4 linked regions of the Diceros bicornis minor genome follow. The protein of the gene in region 1 purifies or fractionates together with the protein of each later gene. This does not show direct contact. Links are inferred from orthologs where the notes say so. Each region holds a gene or a part of one and is shown in the gene's direction. Other genes may lie near its edges.

Region 1 (7,168 bases):
ACATAAAATGGAGGAAGATAGGTACAGATGTTAGCCCAGGGCCTGTCTTCCTCAGCAAAAACAGGAGCATTGGCATGGACGTTAGCTCAGGGCTGATCTTCCTCACAAAAAAAAGTAAATAAATAAAGACCCTTGTGATCACATTGGGCCCACCTGGATGATCCAGGCTACTGGCTCCATCTCAAGATTCTTAACATAATCACATCTGATAAGGTCCTTTTGACATGTAAGGTAACATCTTTATAGGACTGGGTGGTTAGGACGTGGCTGTCTTTGGGAGGTCATTATTCTGTCTACCATAGTTTGCCTCTATAGTATTTAATGGTGTGGTTGCAGTAACACTGATACATGATTGCCTTCAGTTAGCGTTGTAGCAGAAGTAGTCCCCACAGGAAGTCTTTGTGACCTTCTCTCCCCAAGGCTATGAAAGCTCCACAGAGAGGATGTGCTTCCATTTTCTCAAGCTGGAGACCAGGCTGCATTCCACACTGGGCTGCTGTGTGCCTTCCTGAAGCTAGCGTTCCCCATACTCAGGATTATTGCCTTAGCATAGGTCCCAGGAGCAGGTTTATGATTCTTACTACACATTGCCTAATTGCTTTCCAGATTGTATCAGTTTATACAACCTCTCCTGATCGTTTGGCTTTCATAAAAAAAAAAAGTTCTCTTTATAGTAAAGATATATTCTCATTAAAGGACATATGGGAAATCCAGAAAGAGCAAAAGGAAAAAAATCACTCATAGTTCCATAAATTGAAACACAACTTTCACTAATACTTTCTTTCCAATATTTCTGTGTGGATGTATATAAAATTAAAAAAAAACATGGATATGATATTGGAACTTCTTGGAACTATTTTAGATCTAGGACACTTCATGCTTTTGGATATGCAGGAGAAAAATTTTTATTGTGTTTATCTTGGGATGGTTTCCATTCTGTTTTCCTGGTTGACTTTTGTTCTCCACGTCACCCAGAACCTGGAGGCCTGGCCAGGTCCTTCCCTGTGTGATGAGTGTCAGCGCACAATGTGGGGACTATGGCCTGGGATTCTTGATCACGAATCCTCAATCCTGACTCCTCTTAACCAGACTCTAGTCTAGAAATTGGTTAGAAAGGTTAGGTTTTATGACAATTCAGCTTTATAATCCAATTCATAGATGCTGGTTACAAGCAGAATGTTTTTCACTTTAAAAATTAATTTATGTAAATTACATCTTCCATTTCTACTTTCATAGACCTCATCTTCAGGTTCTGATTATTTGGCAAAGACAGTAAAGAGGTACAGGGACCTCTGGCCCTGAAAAGAGAAGGGTGGGAAGTGTTTCAACATAGGTTCTTAGGAAGGTGATTGGCTGCTTTCCATCTTGCTAAATATCTATAGTAGAAGCCCTATGGCTGTAAGTTAGATATAAGAAGGAACTTCCCTAAATGAAATATTCTTACACTGGTCACCCACTCCAATACTAAAAATAAAAGAAAAATCTCAGTTTTCCTGGATGTTGTACATTGTTCTGCTTGAAGAGAGGAGGTGAACTGAGTAAGGACCTGGAAGGAAACCTAATCAGAACTGGACAAAGTAAAAAGTGAATTTTTCAGCACAGACAGCTGCAAAGCACAGGGAGTTGCCTGAGGCATGGCTAGATCCCAGAGCATGATGTCCCTAGGACCTAATCTCTGTCTCTCTTTTGGGGGCTGGCTTCATTTTCAGGAAAGCGGTTAGGTGTTTCAATAGCCCCAGGATTTCTGACTGGGTCTCATTGGCCCATCCCTGTAGCCAGGGGAGTGCAATGCTCTGATTGGTCAGGCCAAGCCACAGGGCCACCCCAAGAATGGCCCTGGAGTCAGGGATGGAGACAGTTCCATCAAAGCTTGTGGACTGAGAGGAGGAGGAGAAGAGTCATTCCCCCAAAGAAAAACTATTAGACCTGACATGGGTTTCTTAGGTCAAATTTGCAAGAGGACCTGATTGGCTGGTCTTGGGCCAGTGTCCACCCCAGGCCAATCAGCTGTGGCAGACAGAGTGGCCGTTTGGCTGGGGGTGGGGTTGGTAAGCCTGGTATGACAAGCTGCCTTTGCTCAGCTCTTGCCTTAGGGTTGTGGTGCTGAGGGGTCAACACTAGGGCCTGAGGGCTTCCATGTCCCACCGGATTTCTTCACTGTTTTCTGAGTGCTTACTTGTTAAGTGTCCCATTTTAAACTCACAACAGCCCTCTGAAGTTGAAGCTGTTAGGCCTGTTGCCCAGGGTAACACAGCCAGTAAGTGACTCAAGGGGGCTGAGGTGATGAATCTGAAAGCAGCATCTAGGGGAGCCCCAGAAGGGACTCAGAGCAGGTGGGGCATGGGGAACTCTCCCCAGGTGGAGGGTCCTGAAAGGGGGGGTGGCAGGAAGGTGTGGAGGGGAGGGAGCACCTCAGACATTTGGTCTAAGTGCCACTTGGTTCTCACTGACCCAGGGCGCAGCATCTGATTCTAGCTTGTATGAGGTTTCTGGAGCCCCATCTTCCCGCAGAGCCACCTGGTCCTGCCCTGCCTCCCTGAGGTCCTGTCCTCCAAACTCTGCCTCACTGCACTCATGGGTGACGCAGTGGCTTTCCCTGCCTGACCCTCTCCTGGAGTGGGCTGGGGCCTTTGTGTGCAGCGTGAGGACCACCAGGTTGGGAAGCCTGGAGTCCCCAGTCAGCCATAGAACAGCTCAGGGGCCTGGGGAGAGTTCTAGCTTCGGTCCTCCACTCTCCAGGACCTCAAGGGATTTAGGGGCTCCTCCTCACATTTTCAGTCAGATCTGAGCCCCCAAAGGGCCCAGAGCACTCTGCCCGCACTGCCTGAATAAGCTCCCTTCTTCTCAGCACCCCGCCCCCACTGAAACACCAGTTGCCACTTTCCCATTTAAGCTGCCGCCTCTTTCCAGCAGTCTGTCTTGATTGCCTCTTCGCTCGCCCCACTTGCCTACTGCTTTAATTTGTGCCGCCGCTGGTTGTGAGCCAGTGTCCTGGCGCCTCCTCCACGGGGTCTTAGCCGCCTCAAGCCTTGGAGAACGTTTGTTGGCCGAAGGCGAAGGATGTGCAGAATCTTCATCCAGCCACGAATTTATTAATTCTCGAAGTCGGCTTGGAGTGGGCCTCACGCGCGATGCCAGAGACACCCAGTGAAGGAGACCACCCGTTTAGGCCTAGCAGGGAGACTCCACACGCTTTAACCCAGCTCCGCGGGAGGCAGGCCCTCGGCCGGTGGGAACCTGCGTTACCTCGGCCCGCCGGGAGACCCAGCAGAGGACGTTGTTGCAAAACGCAATTTACTTTTTTTACTTCTCAAAAACTCCGAAAATGGCTGCTAGTAGCTTCGCTACGGGGCAAACTGTCTGCTAATCTGGAATGCAAACTCGGCGCACAGGGAGGTTTTCCTGGTGCTTCGCCCCCGGCCATCGCGGGGCTCTGCAAGCCGCGCGCGGCGTGAAGAAGGATCGGAGGCTCCGGAAACACTGTGTCGGGAACCAGGAGCCAGGAGCCGAGGAGCAACAGTCGTGGCCGCCGCTCTGCATCCGCGCCGCCTCGGGCGCCCCGGCCCCGAGCCGGGCCTGGGACTGCCCCACGGGCTCGGAGCCCGATTTGACAGCCCGCGCGGGCTTTGCTGGGGGACTCGGGGATCACCTCGTCCACCCAGGCTTAGGCCCTGGGCCAGCGCCACCCGCCACATAAACTCCCCCAGCAGGGGAGGGTTGTTTTCCAGCCCCGAGGCCGAGCAGGAGGCCCAGGACCCCGCGTGTCTTCTCTGAGCGCAGGGGACCCCGGGCCACCGCTCAGCTAACCGAAAGAGGCCCCCTCCTCGCCGAAGGCTTCAACCGGGCGGGATTTCCAGCAAAGGCCGGACACGCGTGTCCCTGCGCACGCACACATCGTGCGCACGTCAGCCCCCGTCGCCCCGTGCCCGGGCGCACGCAGGCACTCCCGGGCCCCCGCACACGCCCGTGGGCACACGCGTCCGCTGCGGGCACTAAGGAGCCCGGGGAGGTAAGAGCGCAGTTCCGGAGCAGGAAGCGGCCCGGGGCCCGGCCTGGGCGGTGTCCCGGGCGGGCCCTGGGGGTGGAGCTTGCCGGGCCGGGCGCGCTGGGTCGGGGCGGGTCCGCGCCGCCGCCGTCCGCGCCGCCCCGCCCTCGGCCCCGCCGCTCTCTCGGCTCCTCGCGCTGCAGCCCCCGCCGTAGCCGCCGCCGAGCCCGCCGCCGCCTCCTCCAAGGTAGGCGCAGGAGACGGGCCCGGGCTTTGCCTGCGTCCCAGGCCGCAGGCCGGGCTCCTGGGGAGCTGAGGGGGAGGAGATGAGGGAGGAGCGGGCGAGGGCGAGGGGCCCCGGGCCGGGCCCGAGGGGGGAGCGGGAGCGGCTCACGCGGGCTGCTTGGTCAGCGGAGGGCCGAGCAGGCCGCGCGGGCGGGCGGGCGGGCGGGCGGCGAGCGGGCCCGGGCGGGAGAGCGGGAGGACGGACATCCGGAGGCGCCTGGGGCTGGGGGCCAGAGCCCGCGGGGACCTGCGGGCGGAAGGGCACGGGCCGCCGCGTGGAGGCCGGGCCGGCTGCAGATCTAGGTGACCTTCCCCGGCGGTGCCCTCAGGCCCTCGGTCCCGCCAGCGCCGGTCAGGCAGGGACTTTCCCGCTACCCACGCTCGCCCGGCCGGGCCTGGCCCTCGGACCTGTGCGGGCCACACCGTCCCGGTGGGGATGAGCTCATGTGACCACCGTGGCCCTGCGCCCCCAGCCGCGCACGTCCTGTCCGGCCTGCCCGGTCCACGCCCGGAGAAGCTGGCGCCCGGCACTGTCCGCGCGTGCCAGCGCCTTCCGGGGCGGAACGGCAGGCCGAGAGCCGACTTAGGCCGCAGGGGCCTGGGCTGGGGCCTGGGCAAGAGGTTAGGCCTTGGCGAAGGGGGCCCCTCTGGGAGCGCCTTGGCCTCCTTGGCCTTTGGAAGTATTCCCAGTTTGATCGTTCATTCATTTACTAAATGTGGTGGTGCGCTCATGAAACTGGTCCAGAGCCCTCTGGATTTGAGGCCGCAGCCCTAGTGACTGTCCAAGGTCACGCAGCTGGGAAGATACTAAACCTCAGTTTTCTCATCTGTAGAGCGGGAGCAATTATACCTCTTCCTCACTGGGTTTTAGGAAAAATAAAATGACTTGATTAACGCGAAGCTTTTAGAACAGTGCCTGGCAAGGAGCAGGCCTCTGTAGAAACCTTGGCATGCACCCTTGAGGCTTTGGGGAGGGTCTAGCCCATCCCCTGCACACCGTTTTGCTCCACGTGGTGTTCTGGAAAGAGTTCAGTAAACGTAGCCCTGTTATTTTAAACATTATTATTAAGCATTTGTGTGCCAGGCGTTGAGTAACTTGCAGATAATTCGTGAAAAATCCTTTAAGTTCACAGACAGACAAGGTCAGGCTGGAGCAGGAGGTTGAGTGTGAGTGCAGACCTGGGCTAGGCCTGGGCCTGTACCACCTGAGGCCCGCATCCCCTTGACCAGCTTCCCCTCTCCAGAGAAGAGAAGGAAGTGGGCTCCTCCTTTGCCTAATATGCTGTTGACAAGGCCGGGGCCGACTGCCGAGGGCCTGCCTCCTTTCTCTCCACCCAGCTCTGGACTGACCCTCTGGACAGGGTCAGGCTTAAGCCCTCTGCAGCTTTGTTTTCAGTGCCTGGGGTAGAGCCACCTGGCCCACAGTAGGTACTTAAAGGGTCTTTGGGGGTAAATGCACTCTTGCTTTTTGTCCAAGAGTCGACTCTTATTGACAGAAAGGTAGTTTTACCATTCCAGCATGTGGCTTATAGTAGGTGCCCATTAAGTGTTTGTGAATGATTGGATGGGCATGTGAAGTGGCGGCAGGCCTGGGCCATGGTCCCTTCATCCTGGACATCCTTCTTGAGGGACACACGCATCTCACTCACTTCCAGAAAATAATAGCCTTACGTAGCGGAGAATCCCAAATATTTAAGAGCTGCAATGGTATGTGCAGCCCTAGAGCAGTGAGAGGCAAACTGTTTCCTAATTTGAAATAACTGCTTTAAACACATTATCTTCATTCTGTGGCTTTCCAAGTCCTGTGGGGAACTTGTTGAACTGGTGTTTCTGGGCTTGCAGGGGAGGTGACATGGGCGAATGGGATTCTCTTAAAGGCCTTGGGCCTGGCGCCTCTTCCGTCTCTGATGGTGGGTGGGTTGATGGCTTCTGCTGGAGTTGTCCTGAGCAGGTTTACAGGAGGACTGTAAATGGGGATGGGGACGGGGGACTGCTCTCAGTTGGTTACTTAGTTTTATTCCTGCTGTTCTATAGGCTATAGGCAGGGGCTATTTGTAGACACAAACCCAGGGGCTCAGGGGGACCATATGGTGAGGAATTGCCTGTGGGCCTCTGGTCCTGCTGGACATTATGCAGATGTGGACCACGACCTCCAAGCTGGTGGTAATGAGGGCCCTTCACCCCCACCTTTACTGGTTAGATACTCCTGAGGCACTGAAGTCCACTTTACCCTGGATGGACTTTCTCACTGTGTGATGTCCTTGGTGGTCGTGACTGAGAGAGGCGTGTGTGGGGCTGAGAGCCAGCCCAAGCCTGCAGGCTGCCCCTCAGGGTGCCTAGAGGGCCTGTAGCCTTGGGCTCCCCACACACTCCTCTGGTAGTCCCTGAAGAAAGGTGACCAGTGGGATCCTCAGCGGGGCCTGGGCACAATCCTCCATTTCACTGCTTGCTCTCAGGGGGGTGGGGGTGAGTGGGCACTTACACCCTTTACCCAGAACTGTGCTGGAAAGAGTCCTGGAGAGCAGATGGAGCTTGCAACACAGCTCTGACATGAGCCGTAGGGTCTAGTACAGGTCACGTTGCTTTCTTGTTCCTCAGTTTCTCCACTATAGAGGTGTGATTGTCATCATGACAGTCATTCTTTATTGAGGGCCTGCTCAGCACACTCCTGGGGGCTTGACGTGTTGTGTGACATTGAATCCACCTTCCTACAAGCCTGGGGAGAGGGGTGCTATTGTTTCCATTTCAGGGGTTAGGAGGCTTGAGCACGGAGGGGTGAGGTAAGCACCCCAAGGTCACACAGCTCAGTGGGAGTGGAATTGGGATTCAGGGCTGGGTCTGGCTAGCTCCAGTGCTGGTGCTTTCACACTGCAGCTGCCACTCCACGGGGCCATGGCA
Region 2 (7,504 bases), on another chromosome or scaffold:
GCTAGAAGAGAAGACCAAATCCTGGCTCTTAATTTCAGGATCCAGTGTAAAACACTTGGGGAACAACTAAAGAATCCTCTATAATTGTTTTATTTACAAAGACTGCTATTAATAAGAGCAAATTATTTAAGTGGCAGTTGTGTTAAAGGGATGCTGAGGAAAAGACTGAGGATTTGACCCTGTGTAGTTTATAATAGCCCCCAGGACAGGCATCAAGTAAATGTGACTTTTCTAAATTTCCGGAGGCAAGACCCAAGGTCTTCAAAAATCATTAACAGAAGAAAGTATGTTTAGAAGAGTACTAAAGAGTCTTAAAAGTAAATTAAGAAGTAGAAAATGGAATGTGGGAGGAAAAGTTACAAAGGGTTCAGAATTATTTAGCTGACAGATTTTTTTTGGGGGGGTGGGAGGGGTGAGGAAGATTGGCCCTGAACTAACATCTGTGCCCATCTTCCTCTATTTTGTATGTGGGACGCCGCCACAGCATGGCTTGATGAGCAGCGTGTAGGTCCGTGCCTGGGATCTGAACCTGCAAACCCTGGACCGCTGAAGTGGAGTGTGTGAACATAAACACTATGCCACCAGGCCAGGCCGGGTCCTAGCTGACAGATTTTGATGGTTAGTGGTGTGCCTAGAACTGTGCTTTTAAAGTGGGAGATAATATGTCTGTTGCTGGACAGGAAAAAATAGATTTGCAATGGTGGGATAGACATTGGGCTAGGAGGAACTTTGGGATGGTGAGACGAGTTGGCTTTAATGCAGTAAGAATGGGGCAGCTAAGTGACTTTCCGGGGTACCTAAGAAATAGTAAAGATAAAGATGCATGCTTAAGATTGTTTCCATAGTAGCTCTAGGGCAAGCTGGAGCAAAGACTTCTGTCCTTCTAGATCCTTAGCTCATTGATCTCCCAAATTTTTACTTCTTATGGAAAATGCTAACTTGGTGTAGGCTCCAATTCATATTCTAAAGCCCTTAATTGCAATGGCGTGTTTATTCAATTCAGCAAGTACTTACTCAAAGTGCTAGGATTCTTGGCTCAAAATACTGACTTGCATCATATTTTTCATACATCTGCTGACTCTATTCACAATGAATGGCCCAACCCTCCATGCTTGTGTCAAATCCTCCTCGAAGCCATCCACACTTGGCAGCCGTGGGGTCTGTAAATGCTGAGTCTCTGGGTCAATCAGTTTAATTGTGCCCCAAGCTAGGAGCTTAAAAAGAAAGCTGATGGGATAAGAGGCAGATAGATCGGAGAGGCAGAACTTGCCCCATCCTGTCTTCTGGAAGTTCTGTTTATCCCCTGCACTGTGCTGGATGTTCGAAAAGGTGCACAAAAGTTCTACCACTCTCCTAGAACTATCTGGTGCCAATCACTCTCTGGGCCTGTTTCTTCATTGTAAAATGAGCAGTGTTTGATCTCTCAAGTTCCATTCAGAAGCCTCTCCCAAGAGGAGGAAACAAGTCTTTCCCAAGAAAAGGGCTTTTCCCACTTTGGTCTCCTATGTTCCAAGGGAATGCTCTTGCATCTGAGATTTCTGCACCCCAGGCCTGGTGATGCCGTCCCTTTGTCTTAATTCCACAGGCCTGTCCAGGGCTCCATATTACAACCAGGCAGGGATTCTTTCCATCACTCTTTCCCACAAAAGTTTGCAACTCCTGCTTCTTTACCATATTTTTTCTCTTCACCTCTTACAATTAGCCTTCAAGTCATGGCAATAACCTTTACCCCTGAAAACACCCCTGAAGACTGCCCAGAAGTGCAGAGACCATAGCACTTGGGCGCAGTGCTAAGAGAAAGCATCAACTTTAGAGGATCAATACCAAGGCCCTTTCTGATATTCTGAAATGTTTTTGTTGAATTCTGTTTTTTTCAATAGGATTGAAACATAAAATGGCATTATCAAATACCTTAAAAATGGAATGGGATTTGCCTCTGGAGGTGGGATCAGGTGGGTCAGAATAGGGGTGGGGGAAGTGTTTGTAGATCCATATAGGGCATTTCTATAAAATAATGGTTCTCTGCCTGACGATGACACACACAATAGACTGATGAAGAGTGGAAATAGAAAGGCTCTAGCTGAGGTCTTCTTGGTTATAAAAGAGGAGAGCCATGTGGAAACCCTCTGTATTTGTGAGGACAGCAATGTTAATAGCAATTGCTATTCTCCCACCAAAACTTTCTTGGTGCCATGCTCAGAGACCAAACTTCAGAGCTAGGAAGATGGTTCCTGTTTTGTAATTTTGAGGCCAGACTCCCCCAGTCACTGGTTGAGTCCCTGAGTCTCCAGTTTCCCACTCGGTAAAATGCAGCTGAAGCCCTTTACCTTCCCGACTTGTGAGAATCCAAGAGGATTTTATATGTAAAAGTGCTAAGTGGAGGCAAAGGCAAATACAGATTTTAGTTAATATTTCTTATACTTCTGTGTCTCTTCCTTACTCTGGAACATAGCTAGAACTTTCAGGTCCTCCTGGAAGGACCTTCAGCAATCGTCAGCTGCCAGGTAAACAGCTCTAGAGACAAAGGGAAATGCCTTGATCTATCTGGTTATATTTTTGAATGAAAAAATGATAATTTTACTTATGAAGGGAAAAAAAGGGGATCACCTGGCAGGAGAAATCGACATTGTTCAGACTTTTGCTTTCTACATTTTGTTGCTGTTCTTGCTGCACTTTTCCTGTTCAGACCAGGGCCCAAGGGATGATTAATCTTAAACAAGCTAAGGGACCTTTGGCAAGCGAAAGCCTCCTACAGGTTAGCAGTAACAGGGGCTGTACCAGCATATAAAAAAAGCATTTTCTAGACCATTGGGGATAGAGCCCTGATAACACTCTACAAATGCCTTCTGTTGAATTAGCAGTGGTGGGCACTCTGCTCTGGAGTTGGGGGCTCTTTCTCCAGCAGTCACAAATTCGAATCCAGTTTCCAATTCCTCTGCTCTTCATGGCCTGGACTGATTTAATCAAGCCTGAAGATGGCTGGAGGAGGCACCAGCCTCTAACAATGGGTTCTTGGACAAGAGGAAGACACACATGTAAGAAACAGTTTCTTCTAAAAAGGAATAAAAATCACCCTAATGTTCTAACTGACAACACAGTTGCTAGTTTTCCCTCCTTCCTTTTCTTTCCTGCCTTCTTTCCTTCCTTTTTTCCTTCCTTCCCCATTTCTTTCAAGCTTCACATCTTTATTTGTTCATGTTAAATTAATAGAGTTGATAGGGCCAGCTTTAAGTTGCTTAGGAAGTTATTTTCCTTATTTCTTGTAGGAATTCCCAGAGACTTGGAGCGACTTTCTCAGAGACGTGGAGCGAATCTTATGTTTTCCCAAAGTATACTTGACTTCCTGAAAGCAAGCAATAATAGTAATACTTAGCTTTCTAAATGTTGGAGACCTTCAGCCACTTGCAGCCTCTGCTAAGAAACATAAACTACAATGGGAGGCAAGACCCACAGCGCAGCCGGGCCAGGGCTCTCTGGGGGATTCCTGGCCTTGTCATCACACTCCAGGCCCAGGTCCCTCAGAGCACCCAATTCTGCGCTGAAAGAGGCGCTGCTGTGCGAGTGGGAGGCATGGAGAAGCACCAGACAGGTCCTCAAACCTCTCTCCTTCGAGTCTGTCCCTTTTGTTCAAGATACGCATTCCTTTACATTTCAAGTGTTCCTCCCCTAAAAAGCGAATCCCCAAACTGGACAAGCAGGTTTCATTCTCACTGTAGCTTCAATGAATTCATTGGACACCCTTTGGATTGTCATTTGGGGTCTTGAAGGAAAGCAGGGGGGCGCTTGGGACCTCGGGCAAGGCTCAGACCCATTCCTCCTGGGGCCGAGCGGGAAGTGGGTAACGCGGATCCCAGACTGGAGGAGGCATTCGGGAGGGCACCAAGAGGCTGGGGAGGCCATCTGCAGGTGGGCACGGGGCCTGGACTCTGCAGGAAGGCGGAGTCCCTCAGGCGGGCGCCGGCTGCAGTCAAGCCCGAAGCCCCCCACCCCCAACCCCGGCGCGTCCTTTAGTCGCAGAGGAGCTCCCTGATGCACTAGAAAGGCCCCTCAGAGCGAGGTTTCTGTTCTGGGTCCGCGGAGATTCGGGGAGCCCCGTTCCGAAAACGTATCCGCACCCACTGCGGACCTTCCGTGCCCTACAAAGCAGGCCGGTCACGCCGAGCGGCGGGAGGAGGGGCGCGGCAGCTCCACGGCCGCCGAGGCCCCGCTGCCCAGCCAGTCGGTGCGCCCCGCAGTGGCGTGGCCGGGGCCTCCCGGGCCGTGGGCACTCGCGCCCCGGGCCCGGCGCCCTCCTGCCGGGAGCCCAGACCAGCGGCAGCCAGCCCGGGGATGGGGTTGGGGCGGGGGCGGAGCCAGGCCGGCGGCCGGTGTCAGGTTGCTCCGGCAACGGTGACGTGCCGCGGCGTGGGCGGGGCCAGCACGCAGGTTGCATATTTTAGGAAGCGAGGCGGAGGCGCGGGCTCGAGCTGCGGCGGGGTCTGGGGCGCAGAGCAGCGGCGGGAGGAGGCGGACACGTGGCAGTGGCAGTGGTAGCAACCCCGGCGGCGGCGGCGGCGGCAGTAGCAGCGGCGGCATCGGCCCGAGCCGCCGGCCGTCCTCCCTCCTTCCCGCCCCACAGCAGCCCTCGCTCCCTCCTCTCGGCTCCCCCGGCCGGGCTCGCTCGGCCGGGAGCTCTCTCCTCTTTTCTCTCTCATTCTCAAGCGACAGGACCCGGCGCCGGGCACAGACCACCGCCACCATGGGGAAGGGGGTGAGTGTCCGGCGAGCCGGGGAGGGGGCGCAGGGAGTCCTGGAGGGGAGGAGGAGAAAGAGGAGGAAGTCAGGAGGGCGACTGCAGCCAGCGGGAGGCGGGGAAGGAGGAAGCGGCGCGGCGCGGAATGGGTTGGCAGAGCGGCGAGGCTTAAAAGACGACGCACTTTGGAAATGGAGGGAGCGCAGTAATGGGGGACGGGCGGGCGGGGGCAGGGAGCGCCGAGGGGACGGAGGACGGCAGCGCGGGGCGGTGCGCAGCCCCGGGAGAGGGGCTGCGGGCCCCCGGGTCGCAGCGCGCCGCGGCCCGGGGCTCCTGGAGGCGGCGCTCGGGAGCCGCAGGGCCGGGAGGAGGGCGAACGGCCGCCGGCGGCCGCATCCCGAGCCCGGCTCCCCTCCCTCCGCCCGCTCTCACCTCCCATCTCTCGCCTTCCTTTTTCCCTCCGCCTTCCGTGCCCGGACGAAAGGCGTGCTCCTCCCCTTCCCCTGGGGCGCTCAGCCCGGCCCCCTCCCGGGCCGCCGTTCCCGCCGCGGCCCGGGCTTCCGACGCGGGGGCGGCCTTGGGGTCCGAGGCTCCTTCTCCTGCAGGCGCGGGGGCTTAGCCAGTTCCCCCGTAGAGGCGGCCGCCCTCCCTCCAAGGCAAAAATTAGTTTCCCCTTACTGCGGAGCCGGTTGGGCGGGCTGGTGCCAGAAAGGGTGTGTCTTCACTGCCCTAAGATGGCCTTTAAGGTATACTTTTGAGAGCTTTGATGGAACGCTGGCCATAAACACAGGATGCGCCCGGGCGACTGGAGCGGTCATTCTGGCGGTGGGGAGGGGTGTGTAAATTTTTTGGAAGGATGAGCCTGGAAGGAAGACAGGCTAGCCCCCCAGGGCCTCTGGGTACAATAAACCCGAAAAAGGACTGGAGGTGGCGGGCAGTACGCGGTGGTAAGAGTGCCAGCTCGCGGAAGACGGTTCCCGAAGGAACGAGGGGTCTCCGGGACAGGAGAGTGCAGGAGCGCTGTGGGAATACCAGAACAACATCTCGTTCCTACAGTTCTGTAACTCGGAGCTGTGATAACCCATAGCCAAGGCAGAAGACTGAGTCCCGGACCCCACCGGGGCCAACGTCTAGTTGAGAAAAGTTTATACAAAATAATCCCCAAAGTATCAATTCGTGGGGTAAAATGACGGGGCCATGAGAATACCGGTAAGAGAGAATCCACTCCATTATTATCACCAACTCTTGCACAGTGCCTGGTGCTTAGTAGGCCTTTGAAGGCTCTTAGGGCTCCTCAAGGTGGAGTGAGTGATGGGGAAGAGGGAGGGTTCATTCTTTGGGGACTCCAAATGGATTTTGAAGGAGGTACTTGAAAGGCTTGGACCTGGTGGGGAGAGAGGAAAAAGTGGGAATGTATGACTGGTATCTTTTAAAAGCACAAAATGTGGAGGGAGGGCTGGCCCAGGTCAAGTAGCTGAAGGCAAAGAGCTGAGTGCCAGCCTCTGTACTCCCCAGGATGGAAACTGGGTTAGTGGCCTGTGCTTGTACCACTGTGTCAAACACTAGATCATTCTCCTAAACTAGCTCTTTAAAGCTCATTCCTTTATTTCTCCCCCTTCAGAAAAAAAAAAGTTTGTTTCCAGAGCTGGACCTTACTGATTTGGGGGGATGTAGAGATCACAGGTATGTACCCAAGGCCTAGGAAGGTGAAGTGACTCGCTGAAGGTCAAATGGTTAGTTAATGACACACCAGACGTCCCTAACCAGCCTGTGATTTCCCCAGCCTGAGCACTCACGCACTCCTTGACGTTGCCTTATGTGGAGAACTCTCAAGTTATTCTTCAGATGAAACTGGGGTATTTGTGAGGTTGAATTAATGGACCAGAGAGATGTTTGAGTAAGTTATGTGTATGTGTCTGTTATGTCTCTTTCGTAACCACATACATGCATAGTAGTGGTAAAGATAGCAACACACCTGGGTTGTGGAGGTTCAACCAAGATGTCTAATGGATCCTAATAAAATGTTCAGTGGCTAGCAAACACAAAATTGAATGACAGCTGGGTAACACGGGATGCTATGCTGCTTATCTGCTGGGTTGTAGTCAGTATTTTGGGTACTATGATAAATTGAACGTTAAGGGGTATGTGTGTATAAGTGGTGGTGATTCTCCCAGGATAAAGTTACCCCTTTTGTCCCCAGTGACTTACTGTGATAGTCCAAATGTTCAGAAGGATATTTTATGCTGAGATGTTGGTATTTTTCCACATGGGGATTAAAATGTGGGTGGAGTGGTGACTAAGGCCCTGCTGATAATTGGTTAACGAGGAAGCCTGTGCTGGCAGCTCATTTTTAAGGTCATTGTTAATTTCTTCCCCTCCTCTTCCCACTATCATTGGGGGCCTAGGTTTTAATGATATTTCAGGTGATTTTATTTCTCCTTAAAAATCTAGTTTCTAAGCTTTGGGTAAGAAATTGAAAGAACAGCTCCTGCTGAATCATTCCTGGATGAAATAGGATTTTGTCCTTTTTTTCATAGTGGGTGTTTTTGCCAATGACTTGGCTTAAATCCACAGCCAGGCCTACCACCCACAACTATTTCCCTCACCAAAGGTACACACGAAAACTTTTCCTTTTCTTAAGTTTACAAAAGATGGGGGGCGGGGGGAGGACGGGGGCATGTCACCAGGTCCTTCCCTTTAGTTCTCCATTGTTTGAATATTAACTTAGTTACTTAGAAAATAAATCATAGTTTATGGGTAGTGACTTAAAGA
Region 3 (7,333 bases), on another chromosome or scaffold:
ACCAGAGGTCGACAAGGGTCCCTGACACTCATGAATAACCGTCAACGAAAAGAAACCCTCGGTTATCAGCCTGGTGGACCAGGCTGGGGAAAGACTGGTTATCTTCCTTTCTTATACGGATTTATCTTTGTCTTGTCTTATCTTTATTTTTTGGAGTGCATCGCTAGAAAAGACTACAAACCCACGGGCGCAGAAGTCCAAAGCCCAAAGGCTCATCTAGAGGGACTGTCTGCATTTTCTGGGGAAGATACCGGTGATGGACGGGGGTGGGGAGGGCGGTGGCTCCCGTGACCCCCTCGCAGGGCGGCGGTGGTGGTGGCACTCGGTGGACGGACGCGCCCGCCCTTAACGCCAGTGCCAGGCTGGCTGGCCGGGTGTCTCCCGGGTCCCCGCCTGCGGGCACTCCTGGGCCGTAACAAAACAGCACAACTGGGTGGCTTAAGACAACAGAAATTACACCCTCATGGTTCTGGGGGCAGAAATCCAAGATCACGGTGTGGCAGGGCCGGGCTCCCTCCAGAGGCTCCAGGGGAGGGTCCTTCCTGCTTCGTCCAGCCTCTGGGGGCCCCGGCGTCCTGGGCTTGTGGCCGCATCACCCCAGTCTCGGCCTCTGTCATCACATGGCTTCTCTGTGTCTGTCGCTCCTCTTCTGTCTCTTATAAGGACGTTGTCATTGGATTTAGGGCCACCCTTATCCACGAGGACTTCATATCAAGACTCTTAATTACATCTGCAAAGACCCTTTTTCCAAATAAAGTCCCATTCACAGGGTCTGGGAGCTGCCTTGTTGTCCCCTGCCCATGTCCACTCCCACCCCCAGGGCCTCTCCCCTGGCGGCCGAGACATCCCCCGATGACACAGGTCAGAGGAGAGGACGACCCTCCCTGCTCACATCCCTCCCCGGGCTCCCTGGGGCCCAGGAATGAAATCCACCTTCTCCCAGCCGTCACCGCCTGGGGCCGGGCTGCATCTCCAAGCTCCCAGAAGAATACGCCTGGAGAACTAGCTGGAACATTCGAGCAAGGGACAGAGGTGTGACAGAGAATGAAAATCCTACGTCGTCGTCTCTCCTCCCATCTGTGAGTTGAAAGGTTTTATAAGAAAAAGCACAAGGTGAGCAAACCAGGGCAGATACCCAGCGATGGGACAGCGGCCGGTGTCTCAAGTGTGAGGCCCTCGGGACAAGACGGCCTCTGCCAGGGAGGGAAGGGGCGAGGCAGTGACCTGGAAAGGGCACAGCCTGGGCAAAGGCTCAGAGGCAGGAAACACTGCCAGTGAGGCTGGGGCCAAAGGCGTGGTGGGTGGAGGGCGCCGAGGCCGAAGGGGTCAGTGGGGGCGAGGCCGAGGGAGGGGTTCGGCCTCGATTGCAAGAGCTGCTGGAACGAGGGAGATCCAGGCCAGAGGAGACAGCTGCCTCCTTCTCCTGCTGTCAGAGGAAGCCGCCAGATCTGAAATCCGGGCCCTCCCAGAGGGGGTGCAGGCCCCGGAGGCCAGGGTGGGAGACAGCGAGGGTCCTGGATGTCCACTCGCCCACAGCCAATTAGGGGCACCCGCAGGGGGCAGATGGCGGCCCGGCACAGGGCCCAGGCCAGGCTGGCTGTCCCTGCCCTGCACACGGGCAGGCGGACAGCAGGCAAGGGGCCCGGGATGGACGTGAGGTCAGAGAGTGACCTGTGCGATGAGGGGAGTTACAAGGGTGAGGGGACCGGGTCAGAGATGCCGATGGAAGACGCCAAATTCAGTTACATTTGAATTTCAGACGTAGGACAGGCAATTTTGGGGATCAGTATATCCCAGATACTGCGTGGGACCTACTGATAACTTAAAAAGGTACTGATTTTTTTTTTTTTTTATCTGAACTTCAAATGTAACTGGGTGTCCTGTATTTCCGTTTGGTAAATCTGGCCACCCAGCCCGCGTGGCCCTGGCTGGCCTCTCCGTGGAGGCAGAGGGGGACAGGGAGCCGCCTGCCCCAGGGTGAGGCCAGGACAGAACAGAGCGGGGATCGGGGAGGGGGACAGAAAACTGGGTCTTCAAGGAGGCACAGCTTTGTTCCGTAAACAAAGGCTTCCCGGCAGCCCTGATATTTCCCATGAGATCTGTCCGCAGCCCAGCCCAGCGAGGGCGGGGCGGGGGCCAGAAATCCTGCCCAGGCCAGGGGCTTTGAAGCCAGCTGGCGGCCTTCCTCCCCCATTCTGCACGTAGCTCTCAACCCCCCTGCGTGCGGCCTCAACAAGCCGGATGGGCCTGGGGCTGGGGCTTCTGGTTGGCTCCCGGGCGGTTCTGAGGCTCCAGGCCCCAGGAGTGAGGTCCTCACCCACAACCCCTTCATCAGCAAGTCCCGGCCCCTCTGCCACATCCTTCCCACGTTTTCCTCCAAAGCCCCCCAAAGCTGGGACTCTGCCGGCTCTGCCCACCCTCCTCCCTGGACCTGCCTCCCCGGGCCAGACAGGCTGTTCCCAGACACACCGCTCACCCCTTACTGTGGCCACTGTTTCCTTGTTCTTGTCACCTTGTATGTCTTCGCGTCCCTGACCCCTTATCTAAAGCACATTACCCTATATTTAATTGAGATAATTCACACACCATACAATTCACACAAGTAAAGTCTGTAGCTCAGTGGGTTTAGTACATTTCAGAGTTGTGCACCCATCACCACATTCAATTTCAGAACATTTTCATCACCCTAGAAAGCAATCCCACCCAATCAGCAGTAACTCCTCACCCATATCCCCCAGCCCCTGGCAACCATGAACCCACTCTCTGTCTGTGGATGTGCCTGTTCTGGACGTTTCACATCAATGGAATCACACACCGTGTGGTCTTCTGTGTCTGGTTCTCTCACTGAGCATCGTGTGTTCAAGGTCCGTCCACAGTATAGCTGTGTCAGGGCTTCACTCCTTTTGATGGCTGTGTCGTATTCGAGTGTGTGGATGGATCCGTTGTGTGGATCCATTCATCCATCGATGGGCATTTGGGCTGTTCTGCTTTTTGGCCGTTACGAATCATGCTGCTGTGAACACTTACGTACAAGTTTCCACGTGGACGTGGATTTTCAGTTCTTGTGGGGAGTGGAATTACCAGGTCAGATGGTAACTCTGGTTTACCCTTCTGAGGCCCTGCCCATGTTCTGCGCAGGGGCTGCACCATCTTCCATCCCGCCACCTGTGCACAGGGCTCCGGTGTCTCCACTTCTCACCAGCACTTGCTGTCTTCCGCGTTCTCGCTGCGAGCTGTCCCAGCGGGTGTGAACTGCTGTCTCACTGTGGTTGTGGTTTGCATTCCCCTGATGGCTCAGGATGCTGAGCCCTTCTTCATGTACTTGTCGTCCGTTTCTGTGTCTTCTTTGGAGAAGCGTATATTCTGATCCTTCGTCCGTTTTTTAACAGGGTCGTGCGTCTTTTTTTTTATCCAGTTGTCAGCGTTCTTTATGTATTATAGATATAAGTCCCTATCAGATACGATTCACCGATATTTTCTCCCGTTCTGTGTGTTGGCTTTTCACTTTCTTCTTAGTATTCTTTGAGGCACAAAAGTTTGTAATGTTGATGAAGTCCTATTTATTTTTTCCTTTGTTGCTTGCGCTTTTGGTGTCACGTCTAAGAAACCACTGCCTAGCCCAGGGTCACGAAGATTACATGATCCTGTTTTTGCTTGAAATTGTCGTTTTTTAAAGTATTTGTTGTAAGACAAACCCCAGGGTAGGTCTTCCAGGCAAATATAGGACAGCCGGTTACACCTGAATTTCAGATAAATAGCCATACTTCCCTTGAATAAGTATGTCCCAATATTGCACGGGTACTTACACTAAGAAGTCACTCGTTCTCTGTCTTAAACTTAAAACTTAACTGCGTCCGGGTGTTTTTTTTGCTAAATCTGGCAGCCCCCCGCCCCAGGGCACACGTGCACCTGTTCACAGGGATCTCTATCGCCTCCTCTAATGCTTCTTTCTCTTTCGTGTCGTGACAGAACACACATAGTATAAATGGAGCATTTTAGCCCCTTTTGGGTGCACAGCTCCGTTCCAACAACGTTTCCGAAAGAACGAAGGGAAACCAGGCTCCCAGCCCCGCCCGCGCGGGCCCCCCCTGTTTCCTAGCAACGCGGCCACGCCCCAGGCCGCGGGGCGTGGCCTGCCCGGGTCACGTGGTGCTGCCGCCCCGGCTTCCGTAGCGCGAGCCTGCCCGGGCCAGCGCGTGCGTACGTGCACCCGTGCGCGTGCGCAGACGGCGGCCGACGTGCCTGCGCACCCCGCCCCGCCCCCGGCGCCGCCCTGCGTGCGCGCGCCCGGCCGGCCGCCCGGTTCTTATAGCGCCGCCGGCGGCGGTTGCGGCGGGGACGGCGGTGACATGGCGGCCGCTCTGGTGGTCGTGTTGGGGCTCGTGCTGCTGGGCGGCGAGGGTGGCTCCGGGCAAGGTGAGGCCAGCGGGTGCGGGGAGGCGGGCTCGGGGCCTGCGGAGTCCGGGTGGTCCCCGCGGTTTGTGGGGACTCGGGAGATTCCCGGGGGCGGCATGCGGGGGGCTTCCCGGGGTTTGGGGGGACCCTGAGAGTTCCCGGGGGCGGCAGTTGGGGAGGGGGTCCCTGGGGTTTGGGGGGACCCGGGGGGTTTCCGGGAGCGGCATGGAGGGGGTCCCCGGGGTTTGGGAGGACCCGGGGAGATCCCACGGGCGGCATACGGGGGGGTTCCCCGGCGTTCGTGGGGACCCGAGGGGTTCCCGGGAACGGCATGCCGGGGGGTCCTCGGGGTTTGTGGGGACCTGGGGGGTTCCCGGGGTCAGCAGTGTGGGGGGTGGTCCCGGGGTTTGTGGGGACCCGAGGAATGCCCGGGGGCGGCAGTGCAGGGGGTGGCCGGGGAGTGGGGGCACGCGGCGGGTTCCCCGGGGGCGGCATGTGGGCGTCCCCGTGGTTTGGGGGGCTCAAGCGGGTTCCGGGGGATCCCAGTGCCGGGGGAGTTTCTGTGGTTTGGGAGGACCCAGCGGGTTACCCGGTGTGGCAGTTCTGGGGGAATTCTGGGTTTTGAGGGGACCAGAAAGATCCCAGGAGTGGTAGTGTGGATGTGGGGGTGCCCACTGAGGTACTGTGGGGGGCTTGGGGGCAGTTCTGGGTGTCGCAGTGTTGTGGGTTCCCGTGGTTCGGGGGGACTTGGGGTGTTGCAGGGGGTCCCAGGGTTTGAGGGGGCTCAGGAGAGGCTGCGGAAAGTTCTGGGGGGAGCAGTGCTGGGTGGGCTCCCTGGGGTTTGGGGGGACCCCGGGGGCTCCTTGGGCGCAGTGCTAGGGGGATATCTGTGCTTAGGGGGCCCCACGGGCCTGACTAGGGAAGAACTGGAGTGAAGTCTGATTTTCTTGATTGGGGGAGGGGAGGAGCCCTGAACTGGCCTGACCCCCTGATGAGGACTCCTGGGGAGAGGATCTGGAGGCACCCCCACGCATCTCTCCAGGGAAGGGACACCCCCCCCCACCCCCCCCCACCCCCCGTCCTTGAGCAGCTGGAGCCTGGTGGCCTGGGGAGGCAGCTAGGGAGTGGGGCCCCTGCCCTGGGAGTGTTGGGGAGGGGTGCAGTGGAGAGCCCCACCCCCACCCCGGGGCTTTTGGCTCTCATTTGGAAAGTGGGTATTGTCCCCAAGTGGGTGCAGGAGCCACATGCTCAGGAAGCGGCCGCTCCCGGGAGCTGGAAGGGATTGTCATTCCTCCCGGGATTAGGTCCCGTGGGCCGCGCTGGGACCTGCCCCGTGTCCGCCCCAACACTGACCCCTTGCAGGGGCCCGCACGCTCTGCTTCTTCTGGTCTTGTCTGATTTCGGGGCCCAGAACGAGGTGGTGTTGGTGCCCCTTACTCTTGTTGCGGCGTGGAAACTGAGCCTGGGTCGAGAGGGGAGATGTTCAAGGTCGCCGTGTGCTGCCGGAGCGCAGAGGGCTGCTTGCAGACTCAGGCGGGCTGGGCCCCGGGCCCTCACGGGCGTGGGCCGAGGTGGGGGCGGCCAGACGTCTGGTGTGGAGGAAGCGGCTGGGAACGTGTGATAAGACCGTTTTTCCAGAAGAAAGCACGACGGAGAGGGATGACTCCTTCCTGTGCCGAGACTCGTTCTGCGGTTCTGGGTTAAAGATTTATGGTGCCCGGCGTGGAGGGGACAAAGTGCAGCCCAGAAGGGTCCGGGCTCCGGCGGCTGTCCCGAGCAGGGCTGGGAGGGGCTGCTGTGGCACACGCTTCACCCGGTTACCCCTGACCCACTTTAAGGTCTCGGTCCACGCCTCCTTCCTTATGATCAGAATGACCATTTATTGACCGCCTCCGGGCCGGGGCCTTTGGCCTGCGGCCAGCCTGCCCGCTGTCTGCCTGCAGATAGGAGCCTGCGGGCAGATAGGAGCCTGCGGGCAGATAGGAGCCTGCGGGCAAGGTGCGCGCGGGAGATAGGCCCCTCAGCCCTCTGGACGAGGCCCTCGATGGCCCAGCGGGTGGGAAGGCCTCGGGCCTCCTGCTTCTCCCAGGGCTGCGCCCGGGCCTCCCCTTCTCCCTGTGACGGCTCCACCGTTCCCAGGGGCTTCAGGGGGGATCTGAGAGTCGGGGTGCCGGCCTCTTCTCCCGGGGTGGGTGAGGGGCTTAGTGGAGTGTTCGCCTCTCCTGGACGGGTCAGTCCTAGGAGCTTTCTTCGGGGCCTCTGCCAGGGGCGGTTTCCTCCATTCGAGCATCGGGTGCCGAGAGGCTGGCACTCGGCTTCTCACGCCCTGCCGGGAGACCCTGGCCCTGCCCGGGCCTGTCCAGGGTGCCGTCGTCCTGCTGGGGCGGGCAGCGGTTTGCTAGCTGGGTCCTGCGGGCCGGTGCCGTGGTCTCTCTGGTCCTCAGGTGAGGCATGGAGGGGAAGAGCCTGGCTGGCGTCCCCTCCCGTCTGGGCTCCCGCTCTGCGGCGGGTGGGGTGGAGGGGCGCCCGACGGCCGTCCTGAGCGCTCCGGGGCTGTTTGCCACGAGGCCTCCTGCCCAAGCCCGGCCCTGCCCCGAGCGGACACACGGGAGGGGTGGCTGTTTTTAGATGAAGGTGACTTTACTGAGAACGTGGGCTCTGGTCATGTGGCCCGAGTCGAGTTCTCACGTCTCCAGGGTGGCGGAGGGCCAGGCGCCCGCCCTGCTCCCGGCTCTGGGGGTGGAGGCTCCCTGTAGATTCTGGGGGGTGCTCCCCGAGGTGGGCGGGGCCGAGGGGGCTGGAGGGCGTTGTTCCAAGCCTTTTCCATTGTGACCCCCGCTGGCCTTGTCCCAGCGGTGTTTCCACATCACAGATATAACGTTACCTGTAGCGGCAAGTGTCTGTGTGGTGATCCCAGTGAGGGCCACCACTGTTGTAA
Region 4 (7,492 bases), on another chromosome or scaffold:
TGTCACGCTAATACATAAGGAATAAACAGAGCCTCCAATACAGAGAATATTAAGTATCTATTAAACATCCAACTGAATGAAGCTTATGAGATAAGGATGTCTTTGAGTTACTTACTCTGAAAAATAATCCATAAACTGCTGAGGATTTTCGGAAGCCAGCAATAGTTGTCTCTGATGAGATTCGGACATACAATGACACTTAAAGCCATTCTACAAAAATGTAAAGACAGTAGTTAAATTCTGATTTACGTCATCATAATGGGTCCTAAATAGAAGTACTTAATCAAACCCTAAACAGCTGCTCTTTGATGATAAATTGTAAAAAAAAAAAAATAATAACAATAATCAAATCACTAGCTGTAAGCACTCTATGGTTCTTAAAAAAATTTTTATGAAGTTGAATTTGCAACTCTGCTAATCAAAGAATAACCTAGAGATTAAAGAGACAGAAAAATAGTGCTTTAGAAAGGAGACATTAGTGAGAAACATTACTGGGCTCAGTAACAGAAAAGAGATTTCATTTTTTTTGGTCAATTTAACAAATTCTTATTGAGCCCCTACTTCACACAGAGTGTTACGCAGGTGCTTCGAGGAATATAATGAAGTAAAATGGGTCATTAGTGAATTTCCATTAAGGAAACTATTTTTCACTCACTTTCCCCTACTTGAGTGCATTATCCAAAATACATTGTTGCACATTACATAAACCTTAGGTTAAACATACTAAATCTGTATCTTCTTCTTCGGATGATTGTGAAAAACATACAAGTTTTGACCTTGTATTTGTTCTACTTAACATTTCAACCTGATTCTTCACTGGTAATAGAAATGAAAAATGTGTCTCTCCTCCTGTATTCCCCACCTCAGTGAACAGCATTATCACAAATGCAATCACTCAAGCCAGGGCGGAGGACAGCATCCTCGAAGCCTTCTTCTGCACCTCCACACTGCCCTCAGCACTAAGTCTACCCAGCCTTCTTAATAACCCTTATCCAGTCCCTCTGCTCAATCCCACTGCCACCGTCCAGATTTCAGCACTGGATCTTGCTTTGTTTCCTAATGTTTAATCATCCACAGACCACTTACATTCTTTTCGCCTCATCTGTATACTACCTGTGCATTACTCTTACTTACACTTATATTAAAAAGAAACTTGGTACCGGTGTCCTAAGTGAAAAACCAGTCCCATTTTCCATAAATTAAAAATAAGTCAATAAAATGAAACAAAATAATGTTATTAAATTCTAGAAATCCAAAGGAGTGGATGAGCAGGAGGAGAATACCCTGGATCTGACCTTCCTCTCTCCCTCAGTCTTCCGATACTGAGACATAGAAGACGGGAAGGAATTTATAGGGGTCAACTTCTCTTCCCCCAGGATGCCCTCCTGGGTAGGGAAGGGCCATGAACACATCTGAGGGCAAACAGGCCGCAACCACAAGTGCCTTGCTCTGAAAGCTGGTAGTTAAAGGAAAGAATTAAGCATTTATCTTCCCTTTCCCACAGGAATCGTATTTTGGGATAACATTTGAGGGTAACCCATAGCCCCAGTTGATGAGAAAAAGCTCATTTTTACAAATGAATGGCCGCCAATAATAAATGTCAAAAGAATTAGAAAAGTAACCACTTTGCAACTCCTAATGAAATAAGTGACTCAGGAAAGGATGCTAAACACATAGGCAAAATGTTGATGGGAAATTAGATATAGGGGCATGATTTCAAAGTACTACCCCACTAGTTTCTTGCTCTTGCAAGAGGGAAAATACTACTTTCTAATGTTACTTTACAGGTTGTTATCTTTACTTAATCATCTTAGCACTACTAGACATTAGGGGCTTCCTTATGTGATGCAATATGAAATACACTGGATCACCTATGAAGCATTCTTCCCCAAAATATTTAACCTGAATCTAATCAAGCCTTTAGATCTAAGTTCCAGTTTATAGAAACTACAAGAGTTAGAGAAAGAGGGCAAAAGAGAATCACAAGGAAACAATTCAACATATCCAGAAAGTGGGAATGCTCCAGGATAACTGACTGGACTCATCCCTCCAAGTCAACGTCAAGAAAAAAAATAGGGGGAGGGGGGCAGAGGGTAGGGGAGGTAGGTTCTATTCCAATAATTTAGAGAGAATTAGAAGTCCTAATAACCTGGAGCACAGAGATTTTTAGGACAGTGAAACCACTCTGTATGATACAATAATGGTGGATACGCATCATTATACATTTGTCTAAACTCATAGAATGTACAACACCAAGAGTGAACCCTAATGTCAGCTATGGACTTTGGTGATAAGGAGGTGTCAATGTAGCTTCATTGACTGTAACAAATGTCCCACTTTGCTGCAGGATGTTGATGGTGGGGGAGGCTGTACACATCTATGGGGGCAGGGTCTGTATGGGAAATCTCTGTACTTTCTGCCCATTTTTGCTGTGAACCTAAAACTGCTGTAAATAAATAAAGTCTATTTTTTAAAAAGTCCTAATAACCAAATCCAATTCATAGCTTTTGACTGGATCCTGTTTTTAAAAAACTGCTTTAAAGAGCATTTGGGGGAACAACTGAGGACATATGAATATGGCGTGTCTATCAGATGATATAAAGGATTTTTTATTAATTTTGTAATGTCTGATGACATATATTGTGGCTATGTAGAAAAACACCCTGATATCTTAGGGAAGCATATTTAAGTATTTAGAAGTGAAATATCCTGATGTTTGAAATTTACTTTAAAATAATTCAGAAAGGGCCACCTCGTGGCTTAGCGGTTAAGTGCGCGCGCTCCGCTGCTGGCGGCCCGGGTTCGGATCCCGGGCGCGCACCGACGCACTGCTTCTCCAGCCATGCTGAGGCCGCGTCCCACATACAGCAACTATAAGGATGTGCAGCTATGACATACAACTATCTACTGGGGCTTTAGGGGGAAAATAAATAAATAAATAAAATCTTAAAAAAAAAAGAAAATAAGGGAAATGAACACATTTATAAAAAATAAATAAATCAATCAAATAATTCAGAAAAAAGTAAATACAGCAAAATCCTTAAAATGTTAAGTAGTGGGTAGTGGATAAAATCCTGGGTAGTGGATACATGGATGTTCATTGTACTAGTCTCTAGTTTTCTGCGTGAGAATTTCATCTAGAAAGAACTAAAGACAAATGAAAGAGAATAAGTGTACCAATGTTATTCAATGTGAGTCCCACCTAAAATATCTCATCCCTCACTTGCAGACACACTGGATTAGATTATTCCGGTTGCCCAGCGTTCTTCTGCCCCCACCCAACTCAATCTCCAGGGAAAAATATGATCCCATCACTAGCCTGCTCTCAATTACTCAAGGTGCTTCACCATCCACCTTAAAAATGGGAAAAAGTGTAAACTCCATAGCACAGCATACAAAGCTTCTCAAGATCTGCCCAAAGACCCCCTGAGTCACTTTACACATAATTCACTCATTTAAAACTCACGACAAAGTTACAAGTAGGCACAGTCATTATTCCCACTTTGCAGAATAGTAAACAAGCAGAGAGAAGGTAAGTAACTTGCCCAAGACCACACAGCTAGTAAGTGGCGCGGCTAGGCTTCACACTTCTGACGGTCTGATCCCCAAGTCCGCATCTTCACCACAATACTCTGGGCCTGCCACACTGTAGGTGCTCAATAAATGCTTGTTAGATGACGGGTGTGCACGAGCTTAGTTCTTCTTCATCTGATCCCAAAAAGAGGTGTGAATCCTAATCAACTCTCAGAGTCACGTCCAGTCAGAGATGATTGTTACTGTTACTGCCCCGGAGCCCGCACTTAATTATTCACGCCTCCCTTTTAAGACAGCTTGAGTAGGATCACTTCTGCGAGAGCTGCAAAACCTTTTCTTGTTCCATTTCTTTTTGGGGTAGACTGGGGAAGAATGAGCTGTCAAAGAGCCCTGGTTCCCAGCCAGGACCGGGGCGGCAGGGAAGGATGGCCCTACTGAGTTGAGCAGCAGACTCGCCCGGTGCAGACCCCACGACGGGGACCTGGGACCCTGGCCCTCTCCCCCGCCTCAGGGACTTGGCCTGGATCAGCGGGCCCCTCCTGGGAGAGGACGGGGCGCCGCCATGGGGCCAGCGGGGCCCACTTACCTCGTCCCGGCACTGCTTCTGGCACATCTGGCAATACCAGCGCAGCTTCTGAAGCCCCTTGGACTTGATCCTGTTGGCGATGGCCTTAGGGGTAAGAAAATCCGACTTCCCCATCGCGACCACCGCAGCAACAACTTTGCGGAGCCCAGCGCCCTGCCAACCGGAAGCGGAACGGGGCTGGCGGCGGTGGGCGGGACAAATACCGTCCGCGAGTCGGAAGGAGGCGGGGCCTCGGTAGGCTGGGCCCCAACGCTCGCGAGGCTTCCCCCCGTCTGGCGGGAGGCAGCGAGACTGCAGGGGACAGCGGGGCGCTAGGGGCGTGCCGGGAAGCCTCCGCGCATGCGCAGTGAGGCCTGTCTGACCGACCTTCAGCAGGGCCGGTAGCACCATGTTCTCTCGGGCGGGCGTCGCTGGCCTCTCGGCCTGGGCCGTGCAGCCGCAATGGTATGGCAGCTTGCGGTAGGAGCCGGAGGGATGGAAGAGCTCGGTCAGGGGGAAGGGGAAGCGGGTGGAGGTGAGTGGGGCGGAACGGGGGTCGCAGGGCCGGCCAGGCCCGCAGTCCCGAGGAGGCCCCGGGAGGCCGGGGCTGCCGGAAGCGCGGAGGGGCCGGGCCGGGCGCGCGGAGGGGCTGGAGGGGCAGCGGGGTCACGCCACGTCCCTGAGACGGGGCGGGGTGAGGGCCACGAGGGCTGGTCACCGGACCTCGGGGTTGAGACCTTAGTCCGAATTAATTTCAGGGCCGTCTTGGATTCGTTCAGCTAATAGTGCTTAGTGCCAGGCAGCGAGGATGGGGAGTCTTCACCTGGGCCCGAAGTGAGGGGGAGGGGAGGACCAAGGTCTAGGGGAAGGTTAAGTTGTGCCTTATGTCCTTGACGCCCGTTGAAACCCTCCGGTGCTGGGCAGAGTTTGAAAGGGCCCAGCGCAGAGCGGAGGAACCCTTCAGGAGCCGCTCGATTCCTCCAGAACGTGTGGTCAGCGCCGAGGATGTAGCAGGCGCTTTGCTGGACACGGGAATAAAATAAGTGCCCTCGTGGGCTGCAAAAGGGACTTTAAAAATCCCTTAAAAATCTGTCTTCTGGAGAGGAAGGAAAGACACCTAGCACTGTCTTGAAACCACTGTGCTGAAGGAGTAACCCTGCAAGGTCATGAAGTTGTCCCAAGGCCCCGAGGAGGAGAGAGGTGGACTCTTAAGTGTCATCTGTTAACTGCCATGTCACTTTTAAAGATTTTAAACGTGGGTTCCCGAAAAAAAATGCATATTAGAAGCCCTAGGAATAAGCAGATAAAAGTTGGTGGGTGGCTGATACCATATAATGGGATGAAATGTTCTAAACTAGACAGTGTGGGAGAATTTCAGACACAGCGCTAAGGGGATTATTAATTATAGGCTGTGTGTAGCCATTCCCCAGTTTTATGGTTAGGGAGAATTCTAAGGAGCTACAGCACTAAACTAGATTTTTGTATCCTATTTTCTGTGAAGGGACTATAAAGCATTAATTGAAATAGGTTGTTTTTTCATTAAGCAAGGAATTTATAACAGACAAGACTTTCAGAGTAATGAGGTGTTTAAATGTGATGTCAAGTTAGAGTTTTTTTTCTAATATCGGAAAAGAGTATTCATGGGAATGAAGAAGTCATCTTAGTTGCATGGTAGGGTGTACCATTTCTTAATCACTCAGCAGACATTTATGTTGGGTGCCTGCCCTGCACCAAGTTGGCAGTGTGGAAAGTGCCAAAACGTGATGGTAGACGAATGGACATGGTCTTAGTGAGCTCTGCAGGAGGGTTCCTGGCATGCATGCAGTGGTGCTCAGCAAACATCAGCTCTCCTTCCTTCCTTCCCATCTTGCTGTGCATTAACGTAACCTGTCAATATTGAGAAATAACTTTTTTTAACATCCTGTAAGACAATTTGAAGATCTTTCAACAAAGAATTGTTTTAAATAGGAGCTCTCTCTCAGTCTGACACACTTACTCCTAGGGGCCCAAATTGGAACATCAATCAGCAAATAAAGGTCATAGTCCTGACCTTAATCCCTTTGGAATGTTGGTTTTAGATGAGTAGGTTATGAATATTCATCAGACATCAGTGTTACACTGTGGAAAGCATTTTCACTGATTCCATCTCTGAGTGTCTGATGTCTTGCCTGCTTCTTCTGCCCTTTCGCTTCCCATTCACTTAATTGCCTTTTAAATTCAGAAATTAAAACCATCTTAATGTTTCACACTCCACAGAATTAATTTGGAAAGAGAGAAAAATACCTTTGCCTTTACAGAACCATAAAGAGGCATTTCCTTGGTTGTGTTTTGGTTATTGAAAGCTTTTAAAAGTGCTTTTAAAAACAATTTGTTATTGTTACAGTTTTTGTTTCAGGGAGGTTAGCACATTAACATTAACTAAACATTAGGCTTAATTAAAATCATAGTGAAATTATTGTAATTGTTCAGGGTATCAGTAAAATACCCTAAATTTTTGGAAATTAAACCTTTTTAAAAAGTAGCATTTAAGAAAATAGAAATAAGAAATTTGGGAAAAGAGTCTGATTTTTCTGTCTTCAGATTGGGGGAAAATGCATTTCTTTTTGCTGGTGTTCCACATTCTCTAAAGTGGAACTATTTTATAATAGGAGACCAATGGCCGTAAATTGAACTATATACACTGAAAAAGAAGAATTAGCAGATGCTACTTCTTCCTGAATTCTTACATTATACACTCCTTAAAATTCTTTCAAGCTGTCTGTAATTTCTTTGGATGATAAATCATTCATCTAGCAACCTCACTGACTCCCTCCTCCACTGCCTTCTCCAGCTTTTGCTAACAGTGCTGTATGATCATAGTAGATAATGGTAATCCACCATCTCTGTGGTTTTCCATGCACTATATTTGATACGTTTCTAGTTTTCAAATAATCTCCTGAGGATTTCTCAGGACATGATGCAATTTTCCAGAACATACAGCTGATTCAGAACTTTCTTTATCTTTTCATTTGCAAAAATTGTATCTTCAGTAGAGCAGGCTGTATACCTAAAGAGAGTTTGGACCAGCTCATGGTCATTTTGTACTCAAATAGTACTTAAAAAGTAAAGTTGTAACATAGGTAGACATCTTTAGAACTAAATGAAGGTTAAACATGAGAGTGCTTCAAAGCAGGGGAAATAGGGCATGTGCACAGCATAAAGAATCACAAAAGATCCTCCCACTTCATACCTCTTGCTTGGGACACTTACGGAAGCCAAAACATTCTGGGTTCATCCAGTTATGGCGTGCCATTCAGATTTGTTCCATATGATATTAATGTGTGTCAGTTAAATCGGAGTGTCTGCCTAAAACCATAATGTCCGAATGTCACTCCTTATAGTCTATAAATTTTG

Evidence for each region.
Region 2: the proteins of VDAC1 (region 1) and ATP1A1 fractionate together in Homo sapiens (co-fractionation; 3 studies listed by BioGRID, with this or other methods). This does not show direct contact. The link is inferred for Diceros bicornis minor from reciprocal best matches to the Homo sapiens genes VDAC1 and ATP1A1.
Region 3: the proteins of VDAC1 (region 1) and BSG purify together in Homo sapiens (affinity purification with mass spectrometry; 3 studies listed by BioGRID, with this or other methods). This does not show direct contact. The link is inferred for Diceros bicornis minor from reciprocal best matches to the Homo sapiens genes VDAC1 and BSG.
Region 4: the proteins of VDAC1 (region 1) and ATP5F1C fractionate together in Homo sapiens (co-fractionation; 3 studies listed by BioGRID, with this or other methods). This does not show direct contact. The link is inferred for Diceros bicornis minor from reciprocal best matches to the Homo sapiens genes VDAC1 and ATP5F1C.

The regions. Positions count from the first base shown.
Region 1 is NC_080740.1:53,195,617-53,202,784, reverse strand, and holds the start of VDAC1 (voltage-dependent anion-selective channel protein 1), read left to right. Parts: upstream 1-4,158; 5' UTR 4,159-4,232; intron 4,233-7,168. UniProt on the Homo sapiens protein: Non-selective voltage-gated ion channel that mediates the transport of anions and cations through the mitochondrion outer membrane and plasma membrane.
Region 2 is NC_080743.1:48,793,595-48,801,098, forward strand, and holds the start of ATP1A1 (sodium/potassium-transporting ATPase subunit alpha-1), read left to right. Parts: upstream 1-4,487; 5' UTR 4,488-4,738; coding exon 4,739-4,750; intron 4,751-7,504. UniProt on the Homo sapiens protein: This is the catalytic component of the active enzyme, which catalyzes the hydrolysis of ATP coupled with the exchange of sodium and potassium ions across the plasma membrane.
Region 3 is NW_026691553.1:241,586-248,918, forward strand, and holds the start of BSG (basigin), read left to right. Parts: upstream 1-4,314; 5' UTR 4,315-4,349; coding exon 4,350-4,416; intron 4,417-7,333.
Region 4 is NC_080775.1:8,838,411-8,845,902, forward strand, and holds the start of ATP5F1C (ATP synthase subunit gamma, mitochondrial), read left to right. Parts: upstream 1-4,484; 5' UTR 4,485-4,508; coding exon 4,509-4,579; intron 4,580-4,611; exon of another isoform or gene 4,612-4,634; intron 4,635-7,492. Other genes in the region: KIN (DNA/RNA-binding protein KIN17), read right to left, coding at 116-210, 4,121-4,234.